Pelodiscus sinensis: one gene and its partner. The protein of the gene in region 2 purifies or fractionates together with the protein of the main gene of each other region. This does not show direct contact. Links are inferred from orthologs where the notes say so. Each region holds a gene or a part of one and is shown on either strand. Other genes may lie near its edges.

What was found.
Region 1: the proteins of POGZ (region 2) and CHAMP1 purify together in Homo sapiens (affinity purification with mass spectrometry; 4 studies listed by BioGRID and IntAct, with this or other methods). This does not show direct contact. The link is inferred for Pelodiscus sinensis from reciprocal best matches to the Homo sapiens genes POGZ and CHAMP1.

What each region holds. Positions count from the first base shown.
Region 1 is NC_134711.1:236,210,555-236,226,754, forward strand, and holds the start of CHAMP1 (chromosome alignment-maintaining phosphoprotein 1), read right to left. Parts: upstream 8,563-16,200; 5' UTR 8,329-8,562; intron 7,963-8,328; exon of another isoform or gene 7,861-7,962; 5' UTR 7,743-7,860; intron 3,459-7,742; 5' UTR 3,396-3,458; coding exon 522-3,395; 3' UTR 1-521. UniProt on the Homo sapiens protein: Required for proper alignment of chromosomes at metaphase and their accurate segregation during mitosis. Involved in the maintenance of spindle microtubules attachment to the kinetochore during sister chromatid biorientation.
Region 2 is NC_134734.1:15,201,524-15,217,485, forward strand, and holds the start of POGZ (pogo transposable element with ZNF domain), read right to left. Parts: upstream 7,793-15,962; 5' UTR 7,530-7,792; intron 1-7,529. UniProt on the Homo sapiens protein: Plays a role in mitotic cell cycle progression and is involved in kinetochore assembly and mitotic sister chromatid cohesion.

The DNA of each region.
Region 1 (16,200 bases), on a different chromosome or scaffold from region 2:
TTTCCAACAAATGCTACACAATCACAAGCTTAGGGCATAATTATTCCAGAAAACCAACATCATTACTTCATGCCTGATCAAGTACGTTGAGTTTCACTGGGATTCTAATTTTGAACTTTGCTTCACATTTTAAAAAATAAGACATTTGAGATGTGAAAAACTAAGTTCAGTCTTCACAGTATTATTATATGGGTTGTTTGCCACATCCTACTTTATTGCCTGAATGTTTTACAATTTTTACAAAACTAGTTTTCATCCCTCTTTTGGTTTCAGAAATATAGCATATCTGATGAATAAAATAGGAATTTATTGATGAATAATACAGGGACATGAATGCATATGTAGAACTATTTCCGAATAATAAATCCTTTCAGTAATACAGCTATGAGACAAGTTAAACACAGTACAATAAACCATGCATCTTTTGACTTGTCAGATCAGCTAAACTACTTACTTGGCTAACATACAGCAATAATTACATATTTTAGTAAATTAGATTCACTGAATAAAAGAAAAAACAATCACATTTGTTCACTTGGTTCAAGGCTGTCCAAATGCTTTTTATTTGCATCTTCACTATGACGGCTTTGGCAATGGGTTAAATGTTTCTTAAAGCCTCTGGGAAAATTTGATTCAAAATTACAACGTGGACATTTAAGCAAACTTTGACCATGAGCAGCAACATGATTTTTAAGTAGAGACTCCAAAAGAAAAGCCTTTCCACATATTTTACATTTGTAGGGGCTTTGAACATTATGCTTGTTAACTAAATGATGCAAAACAGCACCTTTTTTCATTGCACGACAGCAACAAATTTTGCAATAATACTTTCCCTTTCCACGCTTCATGTATTTTGCTATCTCTTCTTCTGAGATGAAAGCTTCTTTCTCTTCGGTAAACTGCAGTACGCATTGTGGCTGAATAGGAGTAGTTGTATCTACTTTGCTCTCTTTGTTGTAATCAGATGGTTCCATATCAAACTGTTCTTGATCACTATTTGATTCTTGTTCCTTTACCTCCACAGAATCCATCTCTGTTTTTCCACATTCACTGTTATTTAGTTCATTATCAGAGTTCTCCTGGTTTTCCTTCTTAGGCTTCTTTTTGGGACACGAATAAATCTCTTCTGAAGGCTCCTTCACTAAGATTGACTGCTCTTCCTGAGACAATAGATCATCCAGTGTTTTTTGATCTTCTAAACTCTGAGCTAGGAAACCACTCTCGTTGGATTCAATAGATGTCTGCAGCTCAGAGGAAACAGCTGGAGTAGGTTTGAGAGGCTCAGGGAAAAGAACATTTTTCTGGACCTCAGAGGGAACAGAAGGAGCAGGTTTGTGGGGATCAGTAGAAAGAGCATGTTTCTGGACATCAGATGAAACAGCAGGTGGTTTCTGGATCTCAGAAAACAGAGTATGCTTCTGAACATCAGGAGAAATACCACATTTCTGTGGCTCAGGAAAAAAGGCTTGTTTGTGTGTCTCAGGGGAAACAGCAGGAGCAGGTTTCTGGGATTCTGTAAAGAGGGCATATTTCTGCACCTCAGGAGAAACAGTACTAGCAGGTTTCTGAGACTCAGCAAAGGGGACAGGTTTCTGGATCTCAGGGGAGGAAGCAGGAGAAACTTTCTGAGGCTCTGGCAAGCAAGTATGTTCCTGGACTTCAGGGGAAGCAGCATCAAGTTTCTGAGGCTCTGGAAAGAAGGCATGTTTCTGCACTTCAGGAGAGAAAGGAACAGGTTTCTGGGACTCAGTAAAGGGGGCATTTTTCTGGACTTCAGGAGAAACAGGAAGAGCAGATATTTGAGGCTCGGGGAAGAAAGCACGTTTTTGTACCTCAGACGAAGCAGCAGAAGCAGATTTTCGAGGCTCTGAGAAGAGGGCTCTTTTCCGGGATTCAGGGAAGAGGGACCGTTTTTGTCCCTCAGGGGAAATGGAGGGAGCAGACTTTTGAGTCTCAGAGAAGAAGGTTGACTTCCGGGACTCAGATGAAAGTTTCCAGGGCTCAGGAGACAATGAGGGAGCAGGTTTGCGAAGATCAGAAAACAAAGATGATTTCCAAACTTCAGAGGAAACAATGTGACTAGGTTTTCGGAGTTCGGGTGAAACAGGGGGAGCAGGCATCCAAGTATCAGGAGAAAGAACAGGTTTCCAGCCTTCGGGGTATACAGAGGAGATGGGTTTCCATGGCTCAGATGAAACAGATTTCTGGGAATCAGAAAAGGATGTAGGTTTCCACGGGTCAGGAGCAGGCCTCCGTGGCTCAGGGGACACCACCGGGGCTGGCCTTCGTGGCTCAGGGGTCACCACTGGGGCAGGTTTTTGTGGCCAGGGAGAGGCGGCAGCAGCAGCAGATTTCTGTAGCTCATGAGAAATAGCAGTGGCAGGTCTCCAGGATTCAGGAGAAACTGAGGGAGCAGGCCTCCATGCTTCTGGGGAAATTGTAGAAGCAGGCCTGCGAGGCTCAGGAGACAAAGCAGGAGCAGGCCTCCGTGTCTGAGTCATATGCCTGCGTGGTTCTGGAGACACTGCTGGGGAACGCCTGCGAGGCTCAGGGGAAACTGCTGGTGAACGCCTGCGGGGCTCAGGGGAAACCGCTGGGGCGGGCTTCTGAGGCTCTGGGAACACTGCTGGTGAACGCTTTCGGGGCTCAGGGGAAACTGCTGGTGAACGCCTGCGGGGCTCTGGGGACACCGCTGGGGCAGGCTTCTGGGGCTCAGGAGACACCGCTGGGGCAGGCTTCTGGGGCTCAGGAGACACCGCTGGGGCAGGCTTCTGGGGCTCAGGAGACACCGCTGGGGCAGGCTTCTGGGGCTCAGGAGACACCGCTGAGGAATGCCTAATGGAATCAGGAGATACTGCCAAGGCAGGCTTCTGGGGCTCAGGGGACACTGCTGGGGCCAGCTTCTCAGGTTCAGGAGATCCCACTGAGGCTGGCTTCTCCAGCTCAGGGGACACTGATGGTTTCTGAAGTTTGGGGGAAATAACTGGGTCAGGTTTGGGGAGTTCTGGGGAAAGGGCAGGCTTGTGTGATTCAGGTGAAAGAGCATGTTTTTGTGGTTCCTGAATGAGCGCTGTTTTCAAGGATTCAGTCTCAGCTTCTAACTGATCTTTCTGGTCTTCATTCCACTTTTCAGGTACTGCATGTTGTGATGTGATGTGATAATAAACATTGCAATACATCTTGCTGGTAAAGAAACATTTGTGACAGTGGAAAAGTTTTGCACTTTTCTGATAAAATATAAGTTTACCTAAACCAGCAGCATCCATTTCATCACAATACTCTGGGTGAATGGTACCCATATGAATTTGTATATTTTCATAATCTGTTCCTCTGAAACTACAGTGATCACATTCTAAACGCTCTGATGTTTTACGCAGTATCTGGAACATTTCCATTTTTCTATGGTAAGTTGCAGCTTGCACAGCACTACAAATCTCAAACAGCAAACTTCAGTATTCCTGCAATAGAGATAAAGGATTGCATATTTAGCTCATATAATAATAAATTTACTTTTAAAATGTTTATTCATTTTTAATTAGTTTGATATATACTTCTCTTTTTCTAGAATAAAAATTAAAGCCAGTTAAATCAAGCCAATCCAGACATTTACAAACTATCAAGTCAGTTACAAAAACTAATCACCAGTTGAATTTTTTTCTACACAAAATCCACTTACTTCTCCTACATAGCAAATTTATATATGAATGTAATAAATTATTTTGCTCAAGGAGTTAATAACTTTGGTATGGTTATAACCTCCTGCATGAAGAAATACAAACGCAGATATCCCCTAGGTCTGCAAGTCACTGCACAGAGAGATTGTGTAAGTAATTTAAATTGTTTACCACACGACCTTGATTGCTATTATCTATCAGCAGAGGAACTTTACAAATAAACCACATTCAAAGGACCTATGTAACAAATATCTAGCTCGTGCCATCACATTCAACTGACAACACTTCTTTGCTTGACCTGAGGCTAATACTTATACTACATTTCATCTGAAAATTAGAGAGCACTTTATGCATTTCACAAAGGTGGAAACAGGATCATACAGTCCTGATTCTCTGGTTTCTCTTCAACTCATATAAATCTTTCACCTTTTACTAAACCCTACTTTCCATACAGTAACTATTTTTCATGAGAAAGCATTTGACACATACAAAATGACAGTCAGATACAAAACCATTCTGTTGTCTGAAGTCTACCTGCTACTGTTATACTTAGAATTACCAACACTGAAAAAGGAGAGAAAAAAATATTTCCTATTTAGGTTTGCATTTGACAGTCCTCTGTATATATGATTTCTGCAACTGATGGGGGATCTTTTACACCAGGGAAAGGGAATAACATTTATAAAATAAAAAATTGTGACTGTAAAAACAAAACAAAATCACAAAGAGATTAATACAGATAATGCATGTAAAACTTAACTAATTTTAAAAAAGGACTAGATTTCAACTGAATGTCTCTAATAGTGAAAAGTAATAATGTAATAAGATCTCCGGATAAATTATTGTTGTAAACAGAAGACCGAATTTAACTGTAGTTACCATTTTCACCTGTTTTTAGGTATCCTTTAAGCTAGGAGAAAAATATCTGTATGGTAGTAAATTATTTATTTGTATTGAGGTAGTGCCTATAGGATACCCAGCCTGGAAATAACAGTCAGTGTTCTCAGACTGAGAAAAAAATCCTTCACAAATGTACAGAAAAATCATCATACAATTGTACCTAAAAAATTGAGCCTTTTTCTTTGTGGAAGACATGGCTTTGATGTATTTATATTCTGAAACCTCAGAAACTGAATGGGAAATGTGAGTTAAAAAAATTGGGATTTTGTGTTTTATTTTAATCCTTATTATAATTCTGGATGGTCTTACTATCCATATTAAATATTCAACCCTTTTATGAATCCTGCTAAGCTACTGGTTTGAACAGTTTGTGCTAATAAGTTCCACAGGTGATATGTACATTATGTGAAAACTATTTTCTTTGAGGTGTACTAAATGTGTTGCTTTTTAACTTTATGAACACTTTATCCATGTATTGCAAGAAAGAATGAAGATGTGTATGTTTTCTATACCACTTATTATATATACACATCTTATTATATCCCCCTCTATATTAAACCATCTGAAATTTCTTCACCATCTTTTCATATGGATCTGTTCTATAATTTTTGTTCTCAGACTTCTTTTTCTCTTCATCTGCAATCGTTTTCAGAATTTCTGGATATATGGTATATTACTAACCCTTCTTGGGAAGTTGAATTATTGATGTGAATTTCTGTGGTTTGAGACTATTCTTTGGTGTTGTATTGTCTCACAAATGAAGCATAAAAATAAGGTAAGTCTGTAACAGAGTGGGAGTTACATTTTGTATTGTAAACATCACATTGTGCATTGTAAACATCACATTGTGCTATGTGCTTTACAGGTGTAACATTGACGAAGACTGTTTACACTACAGATTTTAGAGCTGCACAGCTGTACTGCTACAAGATTTATATGGAACTGCCCCAGGTAAACCACCCACACCCCAATCCCAGACCTGAGCCCTTCCCACACTGTCACCTCCCAGACCCTGCACCCTTGCCTTGAGCCCCCTTCCACACCATAACATCCTCCCAGACCACACACCCCTATCCTGAGCCCCAGCTGAGCCTGGTCCACTACTCTCTCCTAGATCCTACACCCCAATCCTGATTCCCCCTCCTGCAACCAAACTTCTGCCTAATCAAGCACCTCCACCCCAACCTTCTGCCCTAAGACTGCTTTAGTGCTCCAAACCCCATGCCTCAGCCTGGAACCCCCTCCTACATCCCAAATACCTCATCCACAGCCCCACCACAGGGCCTGCACCAGCAGTCAGAACCCTCATCCCCCCCAACTCTAAGCCTCCTTCTACACTCCGAACCCCTCAGCACCAAACCTGCTACAGATCATCCATTTACAAATGAATTTTGTTTGTTATTTGATACGTTGCATATCTTCGCCATATTGGTGCACATAGCAAAATTCATTTCACAAATGGACACACAAAATTAGAGGGAACATGGATCAGCAGTGTGCTTTTTCATACCCCTGACAAGAAATAGATCAAAATGCAAAGTAAACATAGCCTAAGAAAAGTCTATTTTAATTATTCTGAAATAATATCCTTCCCAGGGGAGGTGCTAGTCACCTCATTGAAGAACTAGACTAAAGGTCTAACAAGCTAGGACTCTGACTGTTCTTATCAGCTGACCAACTCCATGGATTTTCTACACAAAAGCATCAGCAGAGTTTGCACATCTACAGCTCCTCAGCCTGGATACATGATGAAAACAAAGAGGTCGCTACTGTGAGCAGAGGGACCATCCATTTCCACATGCAAGAAACACCAGCTGGAGAGAGAACACAGAAGGGACTTGGCCTAGCCTAAAATTTCACACACAGAAAGGCTGACAGTTGACTACAGAGTTGTGCATCTCAAGATATCTGTTAATTTGCAAAGATCTGTAACTTTAGTGCTTTCTTAAGAATAAAGTGACAAGAAATCTTGTGTTAAATAAGCAGTTTTCGTCTGGTTTGTAGAAACATGTACTTTTAAGTTATTTTCTAGAATATGCTATATCTATATGCATTTAAGAAATTAGCTTAATGTATATTAACTTTGTTATTATAGAAAAAGGTGCATTTCTTCTTTACTACATGATCTTTTTTACTTTGCTATTCGATTTTTTTTAATTATATACATTTAACAGATTCTAGTAAATTTAGGCCTCAGCATAGATTGACATAATTCCACTTTTCATTTTAAACAGATTTATTTGAAAGAGAATTTTTAACTTAAATTCATCCCATAGCAGACAAGTAGTTTTCAGAAATATTTGAAATAGGATTAATAGCATAACATTTTCTTGGTAATATAAGGTTTATTATTTTGCAAGCAAATCAGATTCAATTTAGCTTTAAAGAAAAATTAAATTGGCAAAATCCATACATAATAGCCGAACAAATTTTCCTGAACTACTCCCTCTCACTTTATCGCATCTTAATTTCTTTCCTTACTTAATGTTCTAATTCCTTCCCTAAACTCTCCTAACATCACCGCTACTAAGGAACCTTCAGCAACTAGGGATGCAAAAGGTTAACTAGTAAGCATTAGCTTTATCAGCATGATTATCTAATTAACCAATAACCAATTAATTAACCGAAGGGCTGGGTGAAGGGAGACGCTCCCTGCAGCCAACCCAGGCACCAGGACTTCAGCAGGCCAGAATAGCCCCCAGCTTGTTGCACAGTGTGACAGAACCTGTCCAGCCAGAGCAGGGGGGATCCCTTCTGTCCAGAGAAGTCCCCCCCACACCCATGAAGAGCTGGTTGGACCCCAGCCGCACAATTAACAGGTTAAAGTATTACAATTATATTGTTAATCCAGTAAACTTTTTAAATGGATATATACATCTCTAGCACCAACTATTTATATTCCATTGCTGCCCACCTTCACAGATGTACCAAAAAGTGTGCATAGATCACACACAAACCACAGCAGGATCCACTTCCAAAACTCCACACAACAGACTTGCTCTGGGCTTCTTTATACACTTAAAAACAATTTCCTGAGAGTGGCAATTTTATAAATGAAGTGCCTCTGTCCCTACAGAACACACGGGATAAAACAACTCATACCCTTGATTTTGGTAAGTGATAGGGCCTGTCCCTTAAAAACTGCCTGCTACAGAGAAACTTACTTACTTGAGATTATTGACATTGTCCTGCAGCGTTGCAATTCGGTAACACAGGCTCGTTCTGCAACTGTTTGTGTTGGTTTTCCTCGCGACTAGGGCAATGAGAATCGGCTGCGGGCTCAGGTCTGGGGGTTGAAAGGCTGCTTCAATGCCCGCTTTGTGTTTCCCCGCAGTAGTGCGATGCAGCGTGTCTGTCGCCTGTAACCTCAGCACGAGCCTGAAGCGGGCTGGGGGGGGAGGGAAGGATTTACACAGGGAAAGGCTGGATCCAGACCGCGCTGGCTGGGGGGGGGGGGCAGTTCACACCCCCACGGGGCGGCAGCCGCCTCGCACTTCCGACTCGGGGCCCGCCAGCCGCAGCACTGGGGGCGCGCGGGAGAGGGGGCACCGCAGCCCCGAAGTGGGGGGAGGGGTCTGAGCGCGAGCCTGGTCGGCGATGACCGGCCCCGAACGCGTTACCGCCGCGGGGGGGGAGGAGCCTCCAGCGGGAAAGGCCCGAGCCGCGCGCGCGGGGGGGGGGGGGTGTTTACGAAGCCTTCGCGCCCCCTCCTGCCTAGAGAACGCGGCTCCCCCCCCCCCCCCCCCGCACTCACCGCGAGGGGCAGCACGTGACTCTCGCTCCGTTCGGGCGGGGGTTCTGCGCGCGGGCAGACCCCTGGGCGGACGCGGCCCCTCCAATGGCGGCGGTGGCGGCGGCTTTCGCAGGCCGGAGTGAGCGCTCCCGGGGGGGGGGGGGGAAGGGGAAGGGAGGCGCGCGCCCACACAATGGAGGCTTTATTGGGTCTCCGGCCCTTCCCGCTGCCCAACCGGAAACGCCGCCGTTGCTTCTGCCCCGCCCCCCGCCGCGCGAGACCGCGGGCGCTCCCCCCCCCCCCCCCCCCCCCCGACAACGTGCCTCTGCTTCCTTGCCGTTGCGCGCGCGCGCGTGCATGGCGCCAAGAGGGCGGGGGCGGTTGGAGCCGTTAGAAAGGTCCGGGGCTGAGCGCCTGGAGGAGAGCGCGGGGTGCGGGATCCCTTGCAGGGGTTGGAGCCTGCTGGGCGCGCCGGATCCAGCGCCTGTTGGGAACCAGCTGGTGCCTCCTGAGCTCCTTGGCTGTGTCTAGACTGGCAAGTTTTTCCAAAAAATCATTTGCGGAAAAACTTGCCAGCTGTCTACACTGGCCGCTTGAATGTCCGGAAAAGCACTGACCATCTCATGTAAGATTGTCAGTGCTTTTGTGGAAATACTATGCTGCTCCTATTCGGGCAAAAGTCTTTTTCCGAAAAACTTTTGCGCGAAAGGGCCAGTGTAGACAGCAGAGATTTGTTTTCCGCAAAAAAGCCCCGATCGCAAAAATGGCGATTGGGGCTTTTTGTGGAAAAGCGCGTCTAGATTGGCCACGGAAGTGCAGAAAAACATCCTGCCAATCTAGATGCTCTGTTCCGAAAATTCTTTTAATGGAAATCTTTTCAGTTAAAAGCATTTCTGGAAAATCATGCCAGTGTAGACGTAGCCTGTGTTCTGTCCATGGGCGGGATAAACTTTGCACCACCATTGGGAAAACCCAGCTGAGGGCGCTCTGCTAATCACCTGGGCTGCATGTGGATGTCTCCTGAGCCTTTGCCCAAACACTCCCCTTGCAGGGACTCCGGGAGGGGGCTGCTATGGGTGTGTGGTGGAGGGGAGTATCTGTTGCACACCTTCAGGCTGTGCCAGAGCCCCCCTCCCCACTCAGCACTTCCCTCGTCCCCACACACATCCTGCACTTTCTGGGGTTTCTTTGTGCTGCCTGAGGCACTGATGGCTATACTGGGAATTTGCCGTTTCCCAACTGAGTTAAGTTGTGTAATGCCAGGCTTGCTCAGCAAATGCCCAACACAGAGCTGGAGACCTTACACAAGATGCAACTGGACGCTGTGGGTTTGGCTTTTGTTTGTGACATAGGGATTGAAAATGCCACTGAGAAGGTGTGATGCTGTCAGAGCTGTTTCCTCCTCAGGCCGATGTCTCTTCAGGTCTTAACTGAACATCGACAAATCCATAGTAGCATCAATGGCTCACCTGTGTGTTTGTGATGTTAAATAGGTGTTTGTGGGTTGGTTTGAGAGACTGTGGGAGGGGACTGGGAAATGGAAGGCATTTTTGTGGTGGGTGGTGGTGCCTAGCACTAGTTCTAGAGGTAGTAGACGCTGCTATGTTCAGGCTTCAAGACTATGTCTACACTGCAGGCTTCTTGTGCAAGAATGGCCATTCTTGCGCAAAAACTTATGGTGCATCTACACTGCACATGCGTTCTTGCTCAAGTAAATTTACAGGAATACGTTGGAACAGAGGGCTTCTTGGGCAAGAGTTATTCTTCTCCCCAGAGGAATAAGCCCTCTTGCACAAGAAGGCAGTGTGGATGAGCAACAGGGGGTTTACAGGGATGTGGAAAAAACACATCTGCTTTTCTGATTTTTTTTTTTTAAGATTTTCCTTGGATACCTCCAGTATTCCAGAAAAACTCTGCAGTCTAAACTTACCCAAAGGGAGTCTCTTCCCCCTTCTTTTCCTAGGTTGTCAGTATTTAATTGTGTCCATTAAACCCCATTAATCATTTTGGGGACTACCTGAAAAGGCTACTATGTTCAGCACAAAAAAGCTGTGACTCCTTTGCAGGTATAACTGTGATATTTTGAGGACAGTGAAACCTAGTCCTGCTTCTTTTATTAACATGATGTGGATAACACATAATACACTAATTAGCATGCAAGTATGTGCCACCCATTACGTGGAAAGTCAGAACTGATCAAAACTGATTAGTAGAATCTCAGAGTTTACAAATACCAGCGTTACAAACTGAGGAGTCAACAATACAACTCTCTTGGAATACAGGTATACAATTAGGCAGCAGCAGTAACCAACAAATAAAAAAGCAGATGTAGTTCAGTGCTGTGTTAATTGTAAACTACTAAATATAAGTAAAGCAGTAATTTTCTTCTGCCTAATTAAGTTTCAAAACTGTATTGTTAATGTTCAGTGCGAAGAAACCATAATGTTTTATTTAGAGTTAAGAACATTTCAGAATTACAATCTCCATTCCTGAAGTGTTGTAACGCTGGTTTGCTGTAGTCTCCCTCTAGTGGTTGGTCAATCAAAAGCAGCAGCCTAGACTTGAAGTCTACTTTTATCATGATGTATGAATAGAAGTTTAAAAAATTATTCTTTATGGCTGTGTCTAGACTGGCCAGTTTTTCCGGAAAATCAGCGACTTTTCCGGAAAAACCTGCCAGCTGTCTACACTGGCTGCTTGAATTTCCGCAAAAGCACTGACGATCTCATGTAAGATTGTCAGTGTTCTTGCAGAAATACTATGCTGCTCCCGTTCGGGCAAAAGTCCTTTTGCGCAAAACTTTTGCACAAAAGGGCCAGTGTAGACAGCCCAGATTTGTTTTCCGCAAAAAAGCCCCGATCGCGAAAATGGCGATCGGGGCTTTTTTGCGAAAAAGCGCGTCTAGATTGGCACGGATGCTTTTCCGCAAAAAGTGCTTTTGCGGAAAAGCGTCCGTGCCAATCTAGATGCTCTGTTCCGAAAATGCTTTTAACGGAAAACTTTTCCATTAAAAGCATTTCTGGAAAATCATGCCAGTCTAGACATAGCCTATTTGTGTCTATTAAAAGGAAAACTCTGTGTTCAGAAAGTCTTATCTTTTACTTTAGAGGGGTTTGCAAAATTGGTGAGTCTTAATACACAATAATACTACACATTAATACAACTAGCTACATAGTAGAGTATCTTGTTTCTCTTTCAAGTGATTGTGTACAAATACTGCAGGTGTACATGCTTCCAATGCGCTTGTATTGGACTTTTGTATCAGCAGTACTACTAGGCAATAAAGAGGTCCCCCCATGCTTAATGAAAATTGGTTTATATTAATATGCATAACTCAGAGATGCTTTGAAGAAATGCCTCACATAATCAACAAATTCTATTTCAGTGCATGTATCGTTCCTGTATGTAAAGTTAGAAATACATAGCATGAGACTGCTTATAGTTTCAAATGTGCTAATGAGAGCCATTACCTCTCCCTCAAGCCTTAATGACTTGGTGATCAACTTAACGACTTGTAAATGGCCTTGTTTGTCTTGTAAGTCCAAAATTGATTGGACTAGTAAGACACGTGACCATACCATCTGGTACTGGGATTCCACTTTGGGGCTAGGTCTAGACAACAAAGTTTTGTCGGAAAAAGCTGCACAAAATGCACTCCGCATTTTGTGTAGCTTTTTCTGATTCTTTTGTCGGAAGAGACTTTTCCGACTTTTAGCCTGTCTAGACTAGGCCAAATGTTGGGAAAAAACCCTCTTTCAGAAGCCCCCTTCTTCCTGGTGGAAGGAGGAATACTGGGGCTTCCGAAAGAGTGCATTTGCACTTCCGCAAAAAAAAAAGTGCAAACGCATTCCCTGGATGCGGTGGGGTTTTTCGGGATATCCTGAAAAAACCTCGTAGTCTAAACGTAGCCTTACTTTGGTAGTTTTCCATGGAAAGTGGGGAACGGGGAGTGTTGAACAAAAGTTTCCTGTTCTGAGGGAAAGACTATTTAATCAATGAGCCCTTTGTCTTTGGCTAGTCTGGAAACTCCTGAAAGATACAAGGGGCTGGGAACCAGGTCAGGGTAAAATGTCTCTGACCTGAAGATTATGCCTAAATATGAACAGCTTATAAGGGTAAGAATGTGCTCGCAATACGTTTTTTAGTGAATTAGCACTAGCTATGCACTTTATTTTTAACTTAGTAACTTACTTTGACGTGTCCGTTTTCACTTGCAACCACGTAAATCCTACTGTTTGTCCTTAATAAAAACACTTTAATTTGGTATCAGGCCCAGTGTAAATAATTGCTGCCTAGGGGAATGACTAGTGTGCATATCTCTCTTTCATTGATGAAGAGCGTGAACATCCTCATGAGCTTTCCTTGTGTAAAACTTTTAAACAAAGATGGATTTATCTGGGGTTTTGATCTCTTTTGGGGGTTGGTTTCCTGGATGGTGTGACCTAGAACTGCATTCTCCCAGAGCTGAAATGGTTCAGTGTCTGCACTGTACTTCAGGGGGGTAGTAATCACAACACTCTGCCTTATCTAGGGGAGAACAGAGGATCTGGCCCAATGGGACAGGGTAGTGGAGAGCCCCAGAGAACAAGAAAGCAGGTATCAGTGGCATAATCAGAACATCAGGGAACAATCTCAAGGGGTCTTCTGTGACTGCACCCCATCAAAGTGGTGCAGTGAGCAGAGTGATGAGCACAGCCTTGGCCAGTTTATCTATTAGGCAAAATAGACAGTACCTATGGCCCAAGAAAAAGTTTAGAGCCTAAAAAATTCATAATTGACTTTAGTAAGAAAATGGCTAAATCAAACTTAATAATTCACTTTTTTTAGTCAAAAACAGCATACAGGTATAACATACAATATTTACTTTGGGATTCTTTGTTAGCAAAATCACTGATTACATTACCAAATGTATTTTTTTTCAAAAGTTCTTTCTTGTTTGGAAGTAGTGCAAGTGAAAATGGTAATTTCTGTCCCATAATAGACCGAAGACCAATCTTTATATTTTTTTAACTTTGAAAAAAAGCACTCCCTTCACAGTTTGTTCCCAAGATGGCAAGATATATCCTGAAAGCAAAGGTGACATTTGGAAAACCTGTCACTGAAGGAACAGAATCTGGACACCCTATGTGAAGCAATCAGGAGAGTTTATTACACACACAGTGATGGCAGAGTGTCACATCACTTGTTAGGGCTCACTGAACACTGCCAGACCATAGATTACAATTAATTATATAGGATGCTTAATGGGCAGACCAAAGTGATTGGTGGGGGTAAGATCCTGAAACCCGGATAGGTGCTAATTGTGAGGCAAAATAAGAGCAATAATATAAAGTTACAGGCTGCGTCTAGACTGGCAAGTTTTTCCGCAAAAGCAAATGCTTTTGCGGAAAAACTTGCCAGCTGTCTACACTGGCCGCTTGAATTTCCGCAAGAACACTGACTTCCTACTGTCTGAAATCAGTGCTTCTTGCGGAAATGCTATGCTGCTCCCATTCGAGCAAAAGCCCTCTTGTGCAAATGCTTTTACAGATGTAAAATGTACAAATGTACTGTGTTTGTGTGCCAGTCCCAGACTCCAAATTTAGAATAGGAGTTCTTAACAATATCATAGCGTGCCTCAGAAATTTTTATCGTACATCATCAATTTGTCTGCTATTTGTGCGCTGATCAATTCTGCCACAGATTTCTTCTCTGCATACATACACACGAGAACAATAGAAATTCATCTGTAAATGCATGTTCAAAATCTGCTGGATAGATATTTATCAATGCCCTTGTTCTAGAGGCAACTTCAACACTGAACATTGATCTATCAACAAGAAAACAGAACCCTTCATTCAATTAGGCATATGTTATTCATCCTCTGACCATCTCAAGGGTAAGTTTACATGATAGGATAGAATAATGTATGTGAAATTTGGCACTGGCACTCAAATCCAAGACAGTATTATCCATACACACTTTATAAAAAATTGCTTTCTCAGCTGTTTGCATTGTGTGGTCTCTTATAGTTGGATGGTGTGAGATCTTTTGCAGTTGCCTCAAACATTGAATTTATCATTAGCATGAAGAAAGTGTGAATTAATGACAGTGCACGACTCAATGTCAGCTTCCTGTAGAGCTTAATTCATGAGAATAAATTTTTGTAGTATGTTGTTCCATATGACATACATCAAAGCTGTCTCAAACTGATCCAGCTTCTTAGTCAGTGACTGCCTCATGGACAGCTGCTGGTGGTTGTTGATCACTTTCAGCTATGTCTATCAAAGTCTGACGGATACAGAATAGTTCACATAAAGTGCTCTGGAGGCATCACTCTGTGCTGACCATTTTGTTTCTGATATGCTTTGTACAACATAGGGATTTTACTTCCTGTTCTTTACTAATTTAGACCATCTTTGGGGTGAAGCTGAGAAGAACTGAGAAGCGTGACTACAAAATCCCCAAAAACCTGACTGCTGCAGAGCAACATTTCATTGCAGCTGATCCAAACACATTCAGACTATGTGCAGTGCATGGAACCTAGTCAGCCAAACTGTTAAACTTCATGAAACCTAGCTTGAACCCCTGAATAAATGCCACTCATATTGCTGGCATTATCATATGATTGTGACATGCAGCTTACAATATCAATGCCATAAGATTGGAGAATATCCTGCAAAAGATCACTTAAACACATTTCCATCACTGAATACATAACAAAAAAACCCCTTTAAGCTGATCAGTGTGACCATGGGTGCTGTATGAGGGTCCAGCTAGGGAAGGCAAGCCACAGCCTCTCCCCTTCCGCAACCTTTCCCCACCTGTGCCGCCAAGCCTCACCAAACCCCAGTCCGATCCTTCCTGGCCCTTTGGAGGGCTGGGGCTGCTGCACTGTGGCCCTAGCTGCAGCCCCAGCCTTCCCCAGTGGTGAGGGAGCCAGGCTGCTGCACTGCAGCCCATGTCTTCCTGGGTGGCTGGGGAGTTGGATTGCCGTGGGAATTTATGCAGTTTTGGGAAGGCAATGCCATCCTTTGCCTACATTACCCGCCACCATGAGTGTGACTAATATCAGATTAATTGATATTGATTCCATAATACTTGGTCTTCTTTATTTCAGATATTATTCTGTACCATGGCTTTGGATCTCAATGTATCAATACATTCATCACATATAGCTGATGAAAGATAAGACACATTCTCTCTTCCTGCATTTCTATGTTGTTGCATGTGTTCTGAAAGAAATGGTTCAAATTCAGCTAGAAGTTCAGTGCAACCAAAGTCGTTTTCAGTGTTAGGGCAGATGTGCACTTCAGTGTCCCCACAAAAGGCTAGTCCTCATTCAGCAAGGACTCTTATTACACCAACTATTCCCTTTAGGACTTCAATTCAGTATCTACATGATCTTTCCTTCACCTTCTCCAGTTCTGCATCAATTCAGGCAGACTTCTGATGCTGGAGCATTGTTGACAGTTTGCCAAGATGATCCTTCAACTGCTCATGAGAAGTAATTCTAGTGACTGCATTTTTCCAATCATCAAAATTGATTAGAGTAGTTATTGACACAGAACAGTTTGCATACATAGCAATGCCCTTTACCCACTGAGGGAGAAAAAAGAAGCCATTCTCTTTGGACAGTTTCTCCATTTGCCAGTTGCCTGAAAAAATTCTGTGTGTGCATATCTTTTATTTTTACCTGTCTATCCATCAATGAAAAAGTGGAATCCAAATTCTGGGAAGGTATATTTTCTGCAAAAATATTTTATAAAATATGGAGTTATTTCCCATTCAGCTGAATCAGAACTATATTTAATGTTGTGACAAAATCTGCTGTTTTCTTTGGCATCTGTTCTCTTATCACATCTGCTGATATTGTCACTGCCACTTCTGAAGCAGAGTGACTGACCCTTGCTT
Region 2 (15,962 bases):
CCTCATTCAAAACAAGAACCATTTGTGGATAAGGAAATACATCCTGATAAATAAAACAAAAGAAGTCTCTGTAGCATCTTTTAAGCTCTGCATAGTGGGGAAAATAAGATTTCCATCTGTCCTAAATGCCATTTTCTCTCTCATTTGGTACAAATTTATATTACATCTGAATTCCAAAAACATGAGCTAGGTCTATGATTGTTTCTAGTAGGTCATTGTCTTAATTAACCAATCCCTGAATATTTGTGATTTTAAACAGCCATCCTCTTAGAAACATCTAGAAAAGAATTTCATGCAATTTTTTTGGATAAAGTTCCTCTGAGATGATAAAAGAATGGCGACACATAAAACAGTAACCATTTGTCTGGAGTCAGATTACTCTGTATTAAATAAGCAACAGTGCCTAGACATTACATTGATGGGCACTTTATAAATATTTAAGACAGACAGATCTGTAAACTAAAGTATGCATGGCATTACTATCCAGTAAGGTAAAAGCTATGCAGTTTAAAATTACACTGAGGAAATCTTTCCACACATTATTAAGAATACATAATTCAACACCTCATAATTATTCAAAAGACACCAAGACAAAATACTAAAGAGATTGTAGCTACAAGCTTCCTTTGACACTAACTTGCATTAAGTGCATGATATTTCATCTGTTCATATCAACTCAACTAAGAAAATGTCTTCTTTCTTCTACAATGTAGCAGCTTTGTTTTTCATAGCTTTGATCTTGAATATTTTTTGTAAGTAAAAAGCCCTTGCTCAATAAAATGATTAATCCCAGTGATAAATACTCTACTTTTAGCTTTTCAGCTCATAGCTGGCAGATTGCTTGCTTGCAAATATGGATGCCAAAAAAATTTTGCTAAATATACTACAAGAAATAAAACATTTTAGATACATCTCTCTCTGCTGTCAGTTGAAACGTGGGAAGAGACCTTTATGGTGCTGAAAGCCAGTGTTTATTAATTATACATAATGAATTGGCACTAATACAAAATATGGCCCCTTTGGTTTATGTGGACAAACATGGCTCATATTCATCTTTACCACAAGGAAAAAAATAATTAAGCCAATGGTCATTATGCTCTTGAATTAAAAAGGTTATCATTTGATTATACATTCTGCTAAAACAACTATCTTCACTGATGCAGAGCCAGCAATAAAAATTGAATCTGCATCCAAATAGATCACCCTAAATTTGAAAAAAGTCTTTTTTTAACTCTTCTCATGTTGCAGCAAAAAGCAGCTTGCTTGTCTCTTCTAATTTCTACCTAAATTTTGCATCTGATCCAGGCGCCAACTATATTTATTAATTAATGAACTGCCATCCTGCACAATTAGATAGATATAAAATGTAACAATTATGAACTGCCATTTTTCTCCAGAAAGCTTGACAAAACATCTAGAAAGAAGAAGTTTTTCATTTTGGTTTAAAAATTAAGAGATATTTTTAAACCTTCAAAAAGTATCTCACCAAACAAAATTCAGTTAATTCAAATCCTATCTCCAAAAAAGGCCATAAATTAAGAAGTTTTACCTTAGCATAACTCTATTAACTTCAAAGAAGTTAGTAGGGATTTATACAGATCTAAGTAAATTAAGAGAATCAGGTCCTAAATGTGTTCCATTATCAGAAGAAGCACCTGTGTGTACTGGAGTCTACATGACAGCTGTAGAATAAGACAGCTGTAGTTCTCTGAAATATCTAATTTACAGTATTTACTGTTTCCCTCTCAAGTCTATATTACTGAACACAAAATAAGTTATACCTCTTTCCCATCTCCCTCAAACTTTTTAAAGGACTGACTGCAAATTCAAGATTCCATCTACAGTGTTCTTGAAAGCTGCATGACAGGACATGCTATTGGTGCATAAGCTTTAACAAAACTTTATCATTTAAAAAAAATCTACATAAATGAGCACTAGTTAGGCCACAGTTGATGGCCCACTTTCTGCTAAATAATGACATCATCTCTGACACAGGCAGTCTTGGGGCAGAATATCAGACCACAAGTGAATTTCCATCCTACTATATACATGGTTAAAAAACAACTTTATTTTAAAATTAAATCATAATTTTGTACATAAATAATGCCAATTAATTAATTATTGTAATTTCTGGAATAATCCTCACAACATCCAAATGAGGTAGGGAAATATTTTTATAATCATTTTACAGATGGGGAAAACTGAGGCAAGGAGATGTGAATTGACTTGCCCAGGATCAAATATAGCAATTATATAAAAGCAGTAAGGAGAATCAAGGAGCTTGAACTTCTGACCCTGCCCACTCCAACCACTAGTTAATACTGCCTCACAAAACATAAAGCCCTCATTATTAAAAATAGAATCAAACCATAATGGAAACAGATTTCCAGTCTGTGACCTTTCAGCGCCATTAAATTATTAATTAAGAATGCAAATTATGCCATTTTAAACAACATTCACCACCACACATGCTCACAAATTTGGATTTTAATTAAAAAAAACAACTTTATTTACTGTGGGTATGTCTACATTGCATTCCTCTTTCGAGAGAGGAATGCAAATGCAGATGAACAAAATTGCAAATGAAGCACGGATTTGAATTTCTCACGCTTCATCTGCATAATCGCGTCCAGCCACTTTTTCAAAATACCCTATTTCGAAAAAAGAAATGCTGTCTAGACGTGGTTATTTCGAAAGAAAGGGTAATTTCAAAGGGAGGGTATTCTTTTGAAATAACCACGTTTAGACAGCGTTTCTTTTTTCGAAATAGCGTATTTCGAAAAAGCAGCCAGACACGATTATGCAGATGGAGCGTGGGAAATTCAAATCCGCGCTTCATTTGCAATTTTGTTCGTCTGCATTTGCATTCCTCTCTCGAAAGAGGAATGCAATGTAGACATACCCAAATACAATGAACACGGTCAGAAGCACTTGACTTCCTGTGAATTTACAGGGCATATGATGACGGCAGATATCTATGCAAATATTGGGCTATAGTATTTTTAATTTATCTTTTAGACAAAACTCTGCAATGATTCCAATGGGGATATCATGCTCATAGTCCACTGTTTGCAATTTCAGAGTGAATGTCCATTATGGAAATAATACTAAAACATGGCTCACCTATGAACCCTGATTTACAAGTCCAGATTTATTTCTCCCCAAGGAATATAGCAGGATAATTTTACTGTGATAATAAGGGACTGAGATCTGCATATTTTAGACAAAATATCTATTGAAGGCAATTGGCCCTACATCACAGCTTTATGCCAACGAAGGTGAACTAGCGCAAGGACACAAAGAACAGGCAAAAGGAGATTTTTGCAACCTCTCTAAGGCTCTCAGCCAGGGACCATTCTGTGATGGGGACAGAAGAGGAAATATGTCAGAAGCAGGTGCCCAGCACACACCTGTGGTCTGATGATTCTGTGCCTACAAAAATGCCCACAGGGCCACTGAAACTGATGCACGATTTTTTATACCAGTCTGGATTTGCTACCAAAATCTTAAGATGAGAGCACTTACAATATATCCCAGCTAACATTTCAGTCCTACCCCCAACTCTACTGTTTTTCTCTCAGTATGAAAAAAAATCTGCATTAATATGTAATGGCCAATTACATTTTCATTCATTTACTAAAAAAACAAGATCAGGTGGACCTGAAAACAAAATAATTGTTTTTAAGAAGGAACCCCCTCACCTGAAAAACAAAATGAAAACCCTAATGCCTCACAGGGTTCTTTATCAAGGAAAATTCTAGATATAAATGGAATGTATAAATGTATCAAACGTCAGTTGACCTTTTTCCTCGAAGCACCCCTCTTCTCTCTATCCAACCTCCTTTCTTGCCCTCATACACTCCCATCATCTAAACGGTCAACCTGTTTCTTGTCTTCTGTGGGTCATCCCCCTATTTTGATTGTAAGCATTCAGCAACAGGGAACGTATTTTATTTTATCTTTGCAAGAGCTATGATAGTTGACAACAATTAAATAATATAATAAATTAATCCCATGATTAGGACAGGACACATTCCTCTGCTATTGAGACAAACCCTGCAATTTTTACTCTAGCAAAATGCCCACTGACTTCAAGGAGTAATATGCCAAGACAGCATATTGGATATAAAATTATATCAGACTATGTATTAGTTGAAAAACAAAGGATCAGTAAGAAGTTTTCTATGATGCTTTAACTGTTGATATGAGTATTTTAACCATTTTACAGCACCTTAGATGAAGTAAGTCAGGGAACAGAGTTGTTTAAGATAAGAATCAAACAAGCCTAGGGTAGGGGTAGGCAATAATTTTAGGAGAGCCACTTCAAATTTTTGAAGTGGCCCCAAACCACACCGGAAGGGGCAGGCCCAGGATAATTTCATGCGCCCCCGCCTACAGACTGATTGGCCGGGGGTGAGGGAGTGTGTTCTTTGCTGCCGCTTCCCCCCTAGAGAAAACTGCCAGCTGTTCTCAACAGCTGGAGGTTCCCTCTATGCACCCACCCACTAGTGGGAGGAGACTTCACACACTCCCCTCTCCCCCCGCCCTCAGATCAATCAGGGCTGGGGGAGTGCCTGAAGTCTCTCATGCCCTGCCCGGGGTGGTGCAGTGCCTAGGGTGAGCTGGCAGTTCACTCGAGGCACCATGCACCCCTTGCAAGGCAGGAGGTGCACTCCCTCCGAGCACTCCCCTGCTCCCAGTCCCTGATTGATCGGGGGGGGGGGGGGGGAGGCGAAATCTCTCACTCTCTGTGCTCGCCCTGCAAGGCGCTTACTGTAAGAGCCATCAACCCCTGGCAGGGGAGGCCGATTGGCATGGGGGCGGAGGAGAGGCAGGGCATCTGCAGGTCAGATCTGGCCCACAGAGGCTCTCTTGCCCACCTCTGGTCTAGAGCAAGGCAAATTTATTTTTCATTGGCTGAGGTGGTTCATTTCAGTTCACTGGCTATCAGGATTACTTTAAAGCAAGGGCGGGAAACCTTTTTTGGGTCAGGGGCCGCTAACCCACAGAAAAATCATTCGGGGGCCACACATAAGTGAGAAGCAAAGAAAAAAAACATGACTGATGAGGAAGCTCCTCACATTCCCCTTGCACCCCAGAGGTTAGAGGGGCCCAAGCTAGTAGAGTTTATGTGCTCCAGCCCTGTGGGGGGATTGCAAGGGAACTGAAGCACCAGCATGGGCTCCCCAATGCTGAGAGGAGCCCTGAACCCCAGGGGCTGGATCCAGACGGGCCAGGGCTGCATCCTGCCCCTGCGCCTGAGGTTCTCTACCCCTGCTTTAGCGAGTATATTAAAATGTCTACAAATGTTATCACTTTGGGTTGCTACATGTTTTATTAAAGATTTTTCAGTGCATAATACCTATTAATTAAAATGTATTACTGCATGTTAAATTATCTGCTCTTACATTGTGAGCTGCAAATGAAAAAAACGTGTTTAACTTGCTTTCTGTTATACATGTGCACCTAGACTAGCATTATAATATTGGGATTTCATAGAAGAGATCCGGGGTATGGGAGAATCTTCCTGGGAGACTGGGCCTGCCCATGAGCTTCAAGTTCTTGTAACATACTCATCACTTTTGGCACTGATCTTGCAAATGACTGTGCAGGAGGAGCCTGCCTTCCCCACAAAGCTCTTTGTGGATTCAGGGGTCTAGTTATATGGACCCAGAGTCTGAGCATTTGTGATGCTCATATATACCAACAATGCATCCATACATACACACATGCAAGTATATATGGGGAAAAACAAAGACAGTGGATAGCAGGATTTGAAATGAAGAAGGGCCATTAGTTTCAAATGCCTGCAGGATGTCCCCCAAAAGGAGCAGCAGGCCTGTGAGAAAAATTAACTTGATGAAGACTGGTGATAGCAACTGCTGCCAAGTTCATAAAGCAGAGAGCTTGGTGTTGGTGCACATGGGATGTTCATGTCTGTACCTAATCCCCACATATTCTTCATGCTAGAACCCAGCAAAACAGAGTAAACAGAGGGCAAGTTAAAAAGTGCCCTAATATCAGGTGTCCAATGTTTCTCAGACATCCACTCTGAAAGGGGGAAAATAGTAGGCAAGCAAAAGGGGAGTCGCTCCCTCCAAGCAGCGGGGAAGCCATGGCTTCACCTTGCACTGGGAGGAATGGCAAGCACGTTCTGGGGACCTCCAGGTTCACTGAGATGTCAGGCACAGGGAAGTCACACTCACCTCATAGACAGAAGCTGCTGGCACGCTAAGGAAACTCCCTCCCACTCTGGGGAGCAGCCAGGGCCAGCTTGAGCCATTTCTGCGCCCCAGGCAGCGGGCATGCAATGCATGTGTGACTCTGCCCCCGGGCGCATGGCGCATCGTACAGCTGCAATCGGGTGTGCAGCGCCTGATTGCAGCTCTAAGGGGCGGTGTGGCCCACAGCCCCGGGCATGTGGCGTCTGATGGCAGCTCTAAGGGGCGCCACGCACACAGCACCCCTTACAGCTGCCATCAGGTGCCCCGGGCAACTGCCCAGCTAACTCCCCCCCCTTAATCCGGCCCTAGGAGCAGCAAGTATGCCAAGGGCAACTCCCCCCTCCCCCATTAAGGCAGTACCCTCTGGGAGTGACAGCCATGCCAATCAACTCCTCCTTTCTCTGAGGAGAGCAGCAGGCAGCCCAAAGGGATCATTGGGGTGTGTAGGCAAAAAATGGGGCTCACTGTGGAGGTCGGGGGGGAGGGAGCAGCAGGAAGGCCAAAAGCCCCCCTCACTCTCAGATGGGCAATGAGGTGGACTCCCCCTCGCGTTCATTTTCATGAAAGAGGATGGAGATAACACCTTTCCCACAGGAGTAAAAACAGGCTAGTTTCCATTTACTGTGGCTGCTTTGGAAGAAAGGTAGAGAAAATAATCCCTGTGCCCAACATGGCCGCCCACCCAGCAGCAGCCCTTGGAAAGGGGTGGGAGCAAGGAGACAGAAAAAATGCGATCCTGCTCCCCGCAGGGCCGGGCACCCAGCAGGAGGGTAGCGTGGGAGGCACTTTGCGACAGCTCAGGGGTTGCTCTGTGCAGGGTTTAACCCCGTTATGTTCGTCTCCAGTCGAGGGAGGGAGGTGAAGCGGAGGGAGCAGCCAAAGCCGCCTCACTCCTCCCCCTCAGCGAGAGGAGGGGGTATGCGGATCACTCCGCCTCCCCAGTCAGCGAAGGCGGGCGAGCGAGCGAGCAGATATTCCGCCGCCCAGCGGGAACAGCTCCTCCCCCCTCCCCTCAGCAACCCCGATCCCTCCCTCCCACACCGGAGCTCGCGCTCCCTCCTCCCTCCCCGCTCGGCGCGTCTGGCGGCCGCTTTGTGTACGGCGCGCGCTGCCCCCCCCCAACCCCCACCCGCTCCCAGACCCGGGCGGTTCGAACCGGTTCCAACGGCCACCGCCACCCGCATTCTTGTCGTGCGCGCGCGCCACGAACCTCTTCCTCCCGCCCCTTCGTATCGCCCCCCCCCCCGGTTGATTCTGCAGCGTCCGCCTCCCCCACCTCCACATAACGGACTCGCGCCAACTCACCTTTCTCTCCGTCTCCCGCCGCCGCCGCCTCCTCAGACGAGCTTGGCTCGCTCGCACACGCTCTTAAAGTGATACGCACCCCACACAACCTCTTACAGGGAGAAATGGCCGGGAGGGGAGGGTAGGTTGCATGAGCTCCCCCCCCAGTATTTTTGCCCCTCCTTCCCCCCAAAAAAAGCTGCAGGTTGATACACACAGAAAGAACCAACAGACACACACACACACACACAAAAAGGAGACCGGGCCGGCGGAGGGATACGGTGACGTCATTTCCTCCTCAGCTCCAACGCTGTCCTCTGATTGGTTGACTGGGGTGACATCACTGGGAGCCAAGCGCAGCCTACCTTGTCATGGGGAAGTTTGTCTGAGGCACAATTTTGGGGGGGATTCTCTGGGAGGGAGGCTGGTTACAGAAGGGGATTTTTTTCTTAGGTTGACCCCACTCCCACATGTCCAGAAATAGCTGAGAATAGGGAGAATTGGGAGGGAGGGACCCAAGGGGTAGCCAACGCCGCCTTTGAAGGGCCTGATGGCGAGCAGGTCTGCCAGGCTTGGACTACTTCATGGAGGCCAAATAGTCAATAGTCCAAGCCAGTTTCCAGTGTATCCTAACTTTTCCTACAGGTGACAAAGGGCATTTGGAGTCAGGACTTGAACCCGTCATCTGCAGTGAGTATTGGCTTTGGCGTGCCTAGCAACATGGCTGGGTCTCAAACCCATCACCTGCACCAGTTACTGGTAGGGTTGCCAGATGGTTTAAACAAAAATAGCGGACACACTTGAGATGACATCACAGTCTACATTACATCTTATTTAGAAAATACCGGACATTTATATTTTCTCATTTATATTTTTTCAATTTGTTTCCCAGACAGAAAGCTCAAATACTGAACTTTCCGATTCAAAACCGGACACCTGGCAACCCTAGTTACTGGCTTTGGCATGGTTAATAATATGGCTGAGTTTCAGCTCTACCATCTGCACCAGTTATTGGCTCGGCATGGCTAGCAGCGTGACTAGGTCTCAAACCCATTCCCTGCACTAGTTATTGGCTTTAGCATGGTTAATAATATGGCTGAATTTGAACCCACCACCTACACCAGTTATTGACTTGGCATAGTTAATGATATGGCTGAGTCTCCAACCTACCATCTGTATACGTTATTGGATTTGGCATGGTTAATTATATATGGCTAAGTCTCAAACCCACCATCTGCAACAGGTATTGACTTTGGCATGGTTACCGGTATGACTAGGTATCACAGTTTCCAGTTTCAGTGGGCATAGGTTTTGGAATCATTAGCAGTGTGACAAAGTCCCAAACCCATCTGCAACATAGTTCATTATATGGATAGGTCTCAAACCCAGTTGCTATGATAGGTATCAGCTTTGGCATTATTAGTGACATGGCTAGGTTTCAAATAGATAACCTGCAGTGAATACTGGCTTTGGTATAGTTAATAATACGGTTAGGTTTCAAACCCACCACCTGCAGAGTTGGTAAGCAAAATGGGTAAATCTGGAACCAAGCCCACCACCTGCAGTAGTTAATGGCTTTTGGGTGGTTTGCAATGTGGCTGGCACTAGAACGCCCCATCTGCAAGATACAATGTTATAATAATAATTTGTTATTTGTAACATGGTTGGGATTCAAACCTGCCACTGGCAACTTTTATCCTCCTCCCACCTACATTACTGGTGTAGCCACAGGATTCAAACCTATCACCCAAAACAGGTAAAGGTTCTTTGATGGCTAATGATGTGGTTGGGATTAGACTCTGGAGCCTCCAGAGGGTACAAGTTTTTTGTGGTTAGCAATGTGTCTGCAACTTCAAGGTACACTTGTAGCAAGTAACCCCTTTTGGTGATTCGTGACATGGCCAGAATCTGAACCACGTTTAGTCAATCAAGATAAAAAGTCATTATCAATAGCTATTTTGGGGACTCCGTGATAGGAGGTGTAGTTAAAAATATGGTCTTGTATACTCCCCATAAACACCATAACTCCATCAGTATTTGGCACTAATTTCTTTCCTCACTGGCAGTTTGAGCAGAGACCAAGGAATAAATGGACAATGGAAATTGAACTCCTTTGCTATCCTCCATGGGGAATTGTTGCAGGACAGAACTCAGGCACATTGACATGTGGATGAGGAAGTGTATAGGAAATCTGTAGATGCTGCCTAAGTGGATATACAAACCCTTTTGAGCAGGAATCTTAAGCACATGCCTATATTTGAGTATTAATCCCAAAATACTTATTGAGACAGCTCAGACATTAAAATTAGGCACTTTCTTAAGAATCTTACTAGATAGGCACCATAGACTTTTGATTTCCAGCAGACTTAATCAGTAGCTAAAATTCTCATAGAGACATAAAATGTTTTAAATCCTTAATAATCATAATCACATTTATAATTAATAGATACATTTAAAAATCATCAGTAATTTAATAAGCGCACACAGTTACAAAATGAATGACAGTATGCTTAATTGATAATAGATGTAACAGTAATCAAATCATATGCATTTTTCTTAATTATATATTAAACAGGTCATTGTTTTCCATGTATTAATACTGAAGAATAACGCATTATTAACATAATAATTATTTTGTATAATAGTAAAGAGTTCATTTATATATTTGTTAATCACTATTAATAAATAGCTATTCACATCTTCAATGAATGTTAAAAACATTATCTTAAGTTTTCTCACAATACTCCTGTGAAGTTGTTGAATAATAGTCTGCCCAAATGGGCCAAGAGGTATTAACCCTGTTGCTAGCATGTTATTTATTATCCTGGAGTTTATTAAACATGTATGTTCATCCTCTGTAAAAGCACAATGAATTACCAGTCATTTTTACCAGCTCACACTATGCATCAGATTAATCAACCACTTATTGATAGGAAGTGTTTGCATATAACCTGTGTATCACTTCTCTGCAATTTAAAGTTCCAAATTTCTGCTGGGGTATTTCCATTGGTGTCAACAATAGTAGTAATGTGCATTTGTTTGTTTATTTGTGCTGCAGTAGCACCAAGAAATGCCAGTCATGGTCCTTCCCCCCACTAAGTTATGTGATGTAGAAAAGAATCATTTCATGAAAGGCCAGCAATTTTCATTTGCTTTTTCCATGAACATTTCCTGGAACTAGCTGCATGAAGAGTGAAATATTTAGGAATCAAAAATTAAAAATACTTCCTTTAAGTTAATTATTATCATTGCTAGTCTACACTTAGAAATGAAAATGTTAATAAAAATGGATCAACATGGAATTCAGATATTATTAAAACAGAATTAAAAATGACAAATAACAATAAGTGGTAACTACTTAAAAATCAACATCACACCAGCAGAATTGATTTGTCTATTGCATTTACAATATTTCTTAGAATAGAAAACAGTAGGATTCACTATGACCTCTCTCTTAAACCAAAGTATACAATTAAAATATCAAATTAAAGATCAGCCTAAAAATCTGGACAAAAAAGAAACAGAGGATTTAATTGTATTAAACCACCTCATTACTGGCAAGTTGTTTAAAACTGTATGATGGGTATACGTGAAACAAAAGGGAAGCCAATGCCACTTTAGGTAATGCATCAAATCTAAGATTTCCTGTTTGCCTCTGTGCTGCACAGTAGGCTGCTCAGAAATTCACCATGATAGTAGAGTTAGGATTCAGATTTTCATGCTCCAAAAGCTCAAACATCTGTCGCTTAGAATGAGGGAGAATCTTTTTCAACTATTATCTGTGTAGGGGTTATAACATACAACTGATGACTCCTGATTATTCAGCACAGAACAAATAGCACACAAACACTGTTAATTTATATCAGAGGGGTAGCCGTGTTAGTCTGAATCTGCACAAACAACGAGAAGTCCTGTGGCACCTTATAGACTAACAAATTTATTGGAGCATAAGCTTTCATGAGCAAAGACCCACTTCGTCAGATGCCTTATTTTGTTGAATTCACGCATCTGACGAAGTGGGTCTTTGCCCATGAAAATTATGCTCCAATAAATCTGTTAGTCTGTAAGGTACCACAGGTCTTCTCGTTGTTTATACTGTTAATTTAGGCATAGTGTCGATTTTGGATTTAGGACCTACTAAAAAATAAAATGACCCAGTAGACTTACTATTAAATGTATCAATTTCTTAAGAAAAAAATTAACTATTTCTCTTAGAAGTCACAGAAGGGTAGCCTAGTTAGTCTGTAACCTATAAAAAAAAAGTAGTTCAGTAGCACCTTTCTTAGAGTTGGTCTTCATAGAAAGATGTGTGAAAGCAAGGTCCAGGTGTGTCAAGTAACCTTGACCTTACTATGACATTGCTAGCATGGGTGCATTGTAATGCCTTTTAATACAATCGAGCAGGTTGAGATAGACACCCCAAACTAAACTTGACATATTTGTCTAATGTACTCTAGTCCTTAAATTATGGTTTAGCAAAAGTATGAGTGACACAGCAGAGATTAATTAATACATCAAACTAGCTGTTCCAAAGATAGTAAATTGGAGCATTGTGTTTAGCTTCTGCAGTCTGCCAGTTTTCCTGGATGCCTGCCATGTCGGGTTTTTGCCATGAGTCTAAAATTGGAACCACCTGCAGTTTGGTTGGTGTCAAGGCAAGAACTTAAAAGGTTTCAGCATGTGGTTTCCTAACCACTGAAAAAGTCATTGTAAGTGTGTAGTATAGCTTGAAATGGAACAACAGACAGCTTTGCTACATCAGTTGACAATTTTTTTCCACAACATATAGTCTAGGGCTGACTGGAAGGATCAGTAAAAAGGTCCACAGATCTGAATTTGACACGTGGGATTATTATGATTTTGTTATTTGGATTCAACAAATTTATTGAACACATCAGGATTTGCTGGTTTAGAACTTTAAATAGGCACATTTAAATAAGCAATTCAAACATTTTACTTCTGACTAAAATGTTTTTCCTACTGTAGTCTCAGTTCAGCAAGATTATTAAGTATGTGCGTGACTTTAAGCATGTGGATTCCACTGGCAATCTAAAATTTATAATTAACAGATTAGAGGCAAATTTTCCCTTTTATGTTAGGCATTTGTCAGTACAGTACTTCGAATATAGTCAGATTCACTATTCCCTTTTTGTTCTTGAGCTGCTATTTTCTCTCTACCCATGAAGCTGGATTCATACATGGGATCCAGAATGATTTCATTGAGATTTCTTGAAAGTTTAAAGCTATGTGTTCTAGTATATGGTACATAATTTAGAAGTCTTAAACATAAGAACAGTCATACTCAGTCAGACCAAAGATCTGCTTACCCCAGAATCCTATGTTCTGAGACGGGCCAATGCCAAGTTCCCCAGAGGGAATAAACAGAACAAGTATTCATCAAGTGATCCATCCCCTGTTACCCATTCCCAGCTTCTGGCATACAGAGGCTAAGGATGCCATCACTGCCTATTTTGGCTAATAAGCATTGATGGACCTTTCTTCCATAAATTTAAATTTAAAAACTTTGTCTTTCTTTCCTTCCAAAGAAACATTAAAATAAATGCCTTCATCTTTCTAAAATATGCATCCCTAACCACCATAGGAAGCATCTGAGAGACAGCATTCATCTTTTGAAAAGAAACCAATAGCAAATGAAATTTAATGTGGATAAATTTAAAGTAATGCACATTGGAAAAAATAACCCCAACTATACATATAATATGATGGGGGCTAATTTAGCTACAACTAATCAGGAAAGAGATCTTGGAGTCATTGTGGATAGTTCTCTGAAGACGTCCACGCAGTATTCAGGGGCAGTTAAAAAAGAAAACAGGTTGTTAGGAATAATTTAAAAAGGGATAGAGAATAAGACAGAGAATATCTTATTGCCCTTATATAAATCCATGGTATGCCCACATCTTGAATACTGCATACAGATGTGGTCTCCTCATCTCAAAAGAAATATATTGGCATTAGAAAAGGTTCAGAGAAGGGCAACGTAAATGATTAGGGGTTTGGAACAGGTCCCATATGAGGAGAGATTAAAGAGACTGGGACTTTTCAGCTTGGAAAAGAGGAGACTAAGGGGGGATATGATAGAGGTCTATAAAATCATGAGTGGTGTGGAGAAAGTGAATAAGGAAAAGTTATTTACTTGTTCCCATAATATAACAACTAGGGGCCACCAAATGAAACTAATGGGTGGCAGGTTTAAAACAAAAGGAAGTTCTTCACACAGTGCATTGTCAATCTGTGGAACTCCTTGTCTGAGGAGGTTGTGAAGGCTAGGACTATAATGGGGTTTAAAAAAGAAGTAGATAAATTCATGGAGGTTAAGTCCATAAATGGCTATTAGCCAGTATTGGTAAGGAATGGTGTCCCTAGCCTCTGTTTGTCAGAGGATAGATATGGATGGCAGGAGAAAGATCGCTTGATCATTACCTGTTAAATTCAGTCCCTCTGGAACACCTGGGATTAGCCACTGTCGGCAGACAGGATACAGGGCTAGATGGACCTTTGGTCTGACCCAATATGGCCATTCTTATGTTCTTATGTTCTAATTACTTTACCCCACAAGATTTGGATTTCTACCTGTCAGAATGTACCTTAATATTTTGCATGATCAGATCCTAATACTTCCCAGCCATATTAATTTGTTTACCTTAATCCCTAAATACATTATTTGTTATTCATTTACATTTCCAAGATACAAAAATATCTGAATTGTTAATTCTTGGTAAAAATAAAATTTTGATTAAGAATTGTTTAGTTTATATATATAGATTCCCCAATCCAAACTTCCATGATTTTTAAATTTTCAGGAATAATATTCCTTGGATTACTCGCTTATTGATGAATTATTACTTACTGTTCTTTAGTATGTCTGTGTAACAACAGAATTGTTAGAATAAAGGGGAAAAATGCAGTCTGCTACGCGTTCTAGCACCAGACATGCTTTCTGTATCTGATGGTGAACGACTTCTAAAAGTTTCAGAGGAGTGGCAACTAGTAGTAATACTAACTTATGTACTTGTGAAGTAAAAAAGGAGATCTGAAACTGTATATCTGTAATAGGATGTGAATAAATATAATCAGACATCTGAACTTTGACACAGTGTACCTAAGGACACAGTCTAGACACAATTATTCAGCTATCAAAGGCCTAATGTCTAATGATATGTCTAATGATATCATTGCCTGTTGTTTCCAATTATCTTTAGACTCCAGTATGACACTGAAGCCAATACTTTGCTAAGATTATCTAATGCTTACTTCTGTTAAATAACCTACTCCTGACCTCTTTTCCTATAATTTTAAACTATTACCCAGGATTTTAGTAGGTACTTTGTAGTCAATCTTTCACCCCAAGGCCATTCTATAATTACTATCAGAGGGGAAACCAGGTTAGTCTGAATCTGCAAGAACAACGAGAAGTCCTGTGGCACCTTATAGACTAACAGATTTATTGGAGCATAAGCTTTCGTGTGCAAAGACCCATTTCATCAGATGCATGTAGTGGAAATTCCAGAGGCAGGTATAAATATATAAGCATAAGAAAAGAGTTCCAATCGAGAGTAAGGTTTGAGATAACGAGGTCAGTTCAGTCAGAGTGGATGAGGCCCGCTTCTAGCTGCTGATGTGGAGGTGTGAATACCAAGAGAGGAGAAACTGCTTTTGTAGTTGGCTAGCTATTCACAGTCTTTGTTTAATCCTAAACTGATAGTATCACATTTGCAGATGAATTGTAGCTCTGCAGTTTCTCTTTGAAATCTGTTTTTTAATTTTTTTTGTTGCAGGATGGCTACTTTTAAATCTGCTATTGTGTGTCCAGGGAGATTGAAGTGTTCTCCTACAGGTTTTTGTGTATTACCATTCCTTATATCTGATTTGTGTCCATTTGTTCTTTTACATAGGGACTGTCCAGTTTGGCCGATGTATATGGCAGAAGGGCATTGCTGGCACATGATTTGCATATATTACATTGGTAGATGTGCAGGTGAATCAGCTCGTATTGGTGTGGCTGATGTGGTTAGGTGTTGTGATGGTGCCGCAGGAAATCACCGTGATTTCAACAATTTCCACCCCACCATCAACCTCAGCCTGGAACAGTCTACACAAAAGATCCCCTGCCTGGACACCACAGTGCAAATAAGTGATGGTCACCTAAACACCACCCTATACCAAAAACCTACGGGCCGCTATGCCTACCTACATGCCTCCAGCTTCTTAGGTATAACCGCATTTGCTCCAACCCTTCAGACAGAGATAAACACCTACAAGATCTACACCAAGCATTCTTGAAACTACAGTACCCACCTGAGGAAGTGAAGAAACAGATCAACAGAGCCAGACATATACCCAGAAGCCTCCTGCTACAACACAGGCCCAACAAAGAAAATAACAGAACACCACTTGCCATCACCTACAGTCCCCAGTTAAAACCTCTCCAACGCA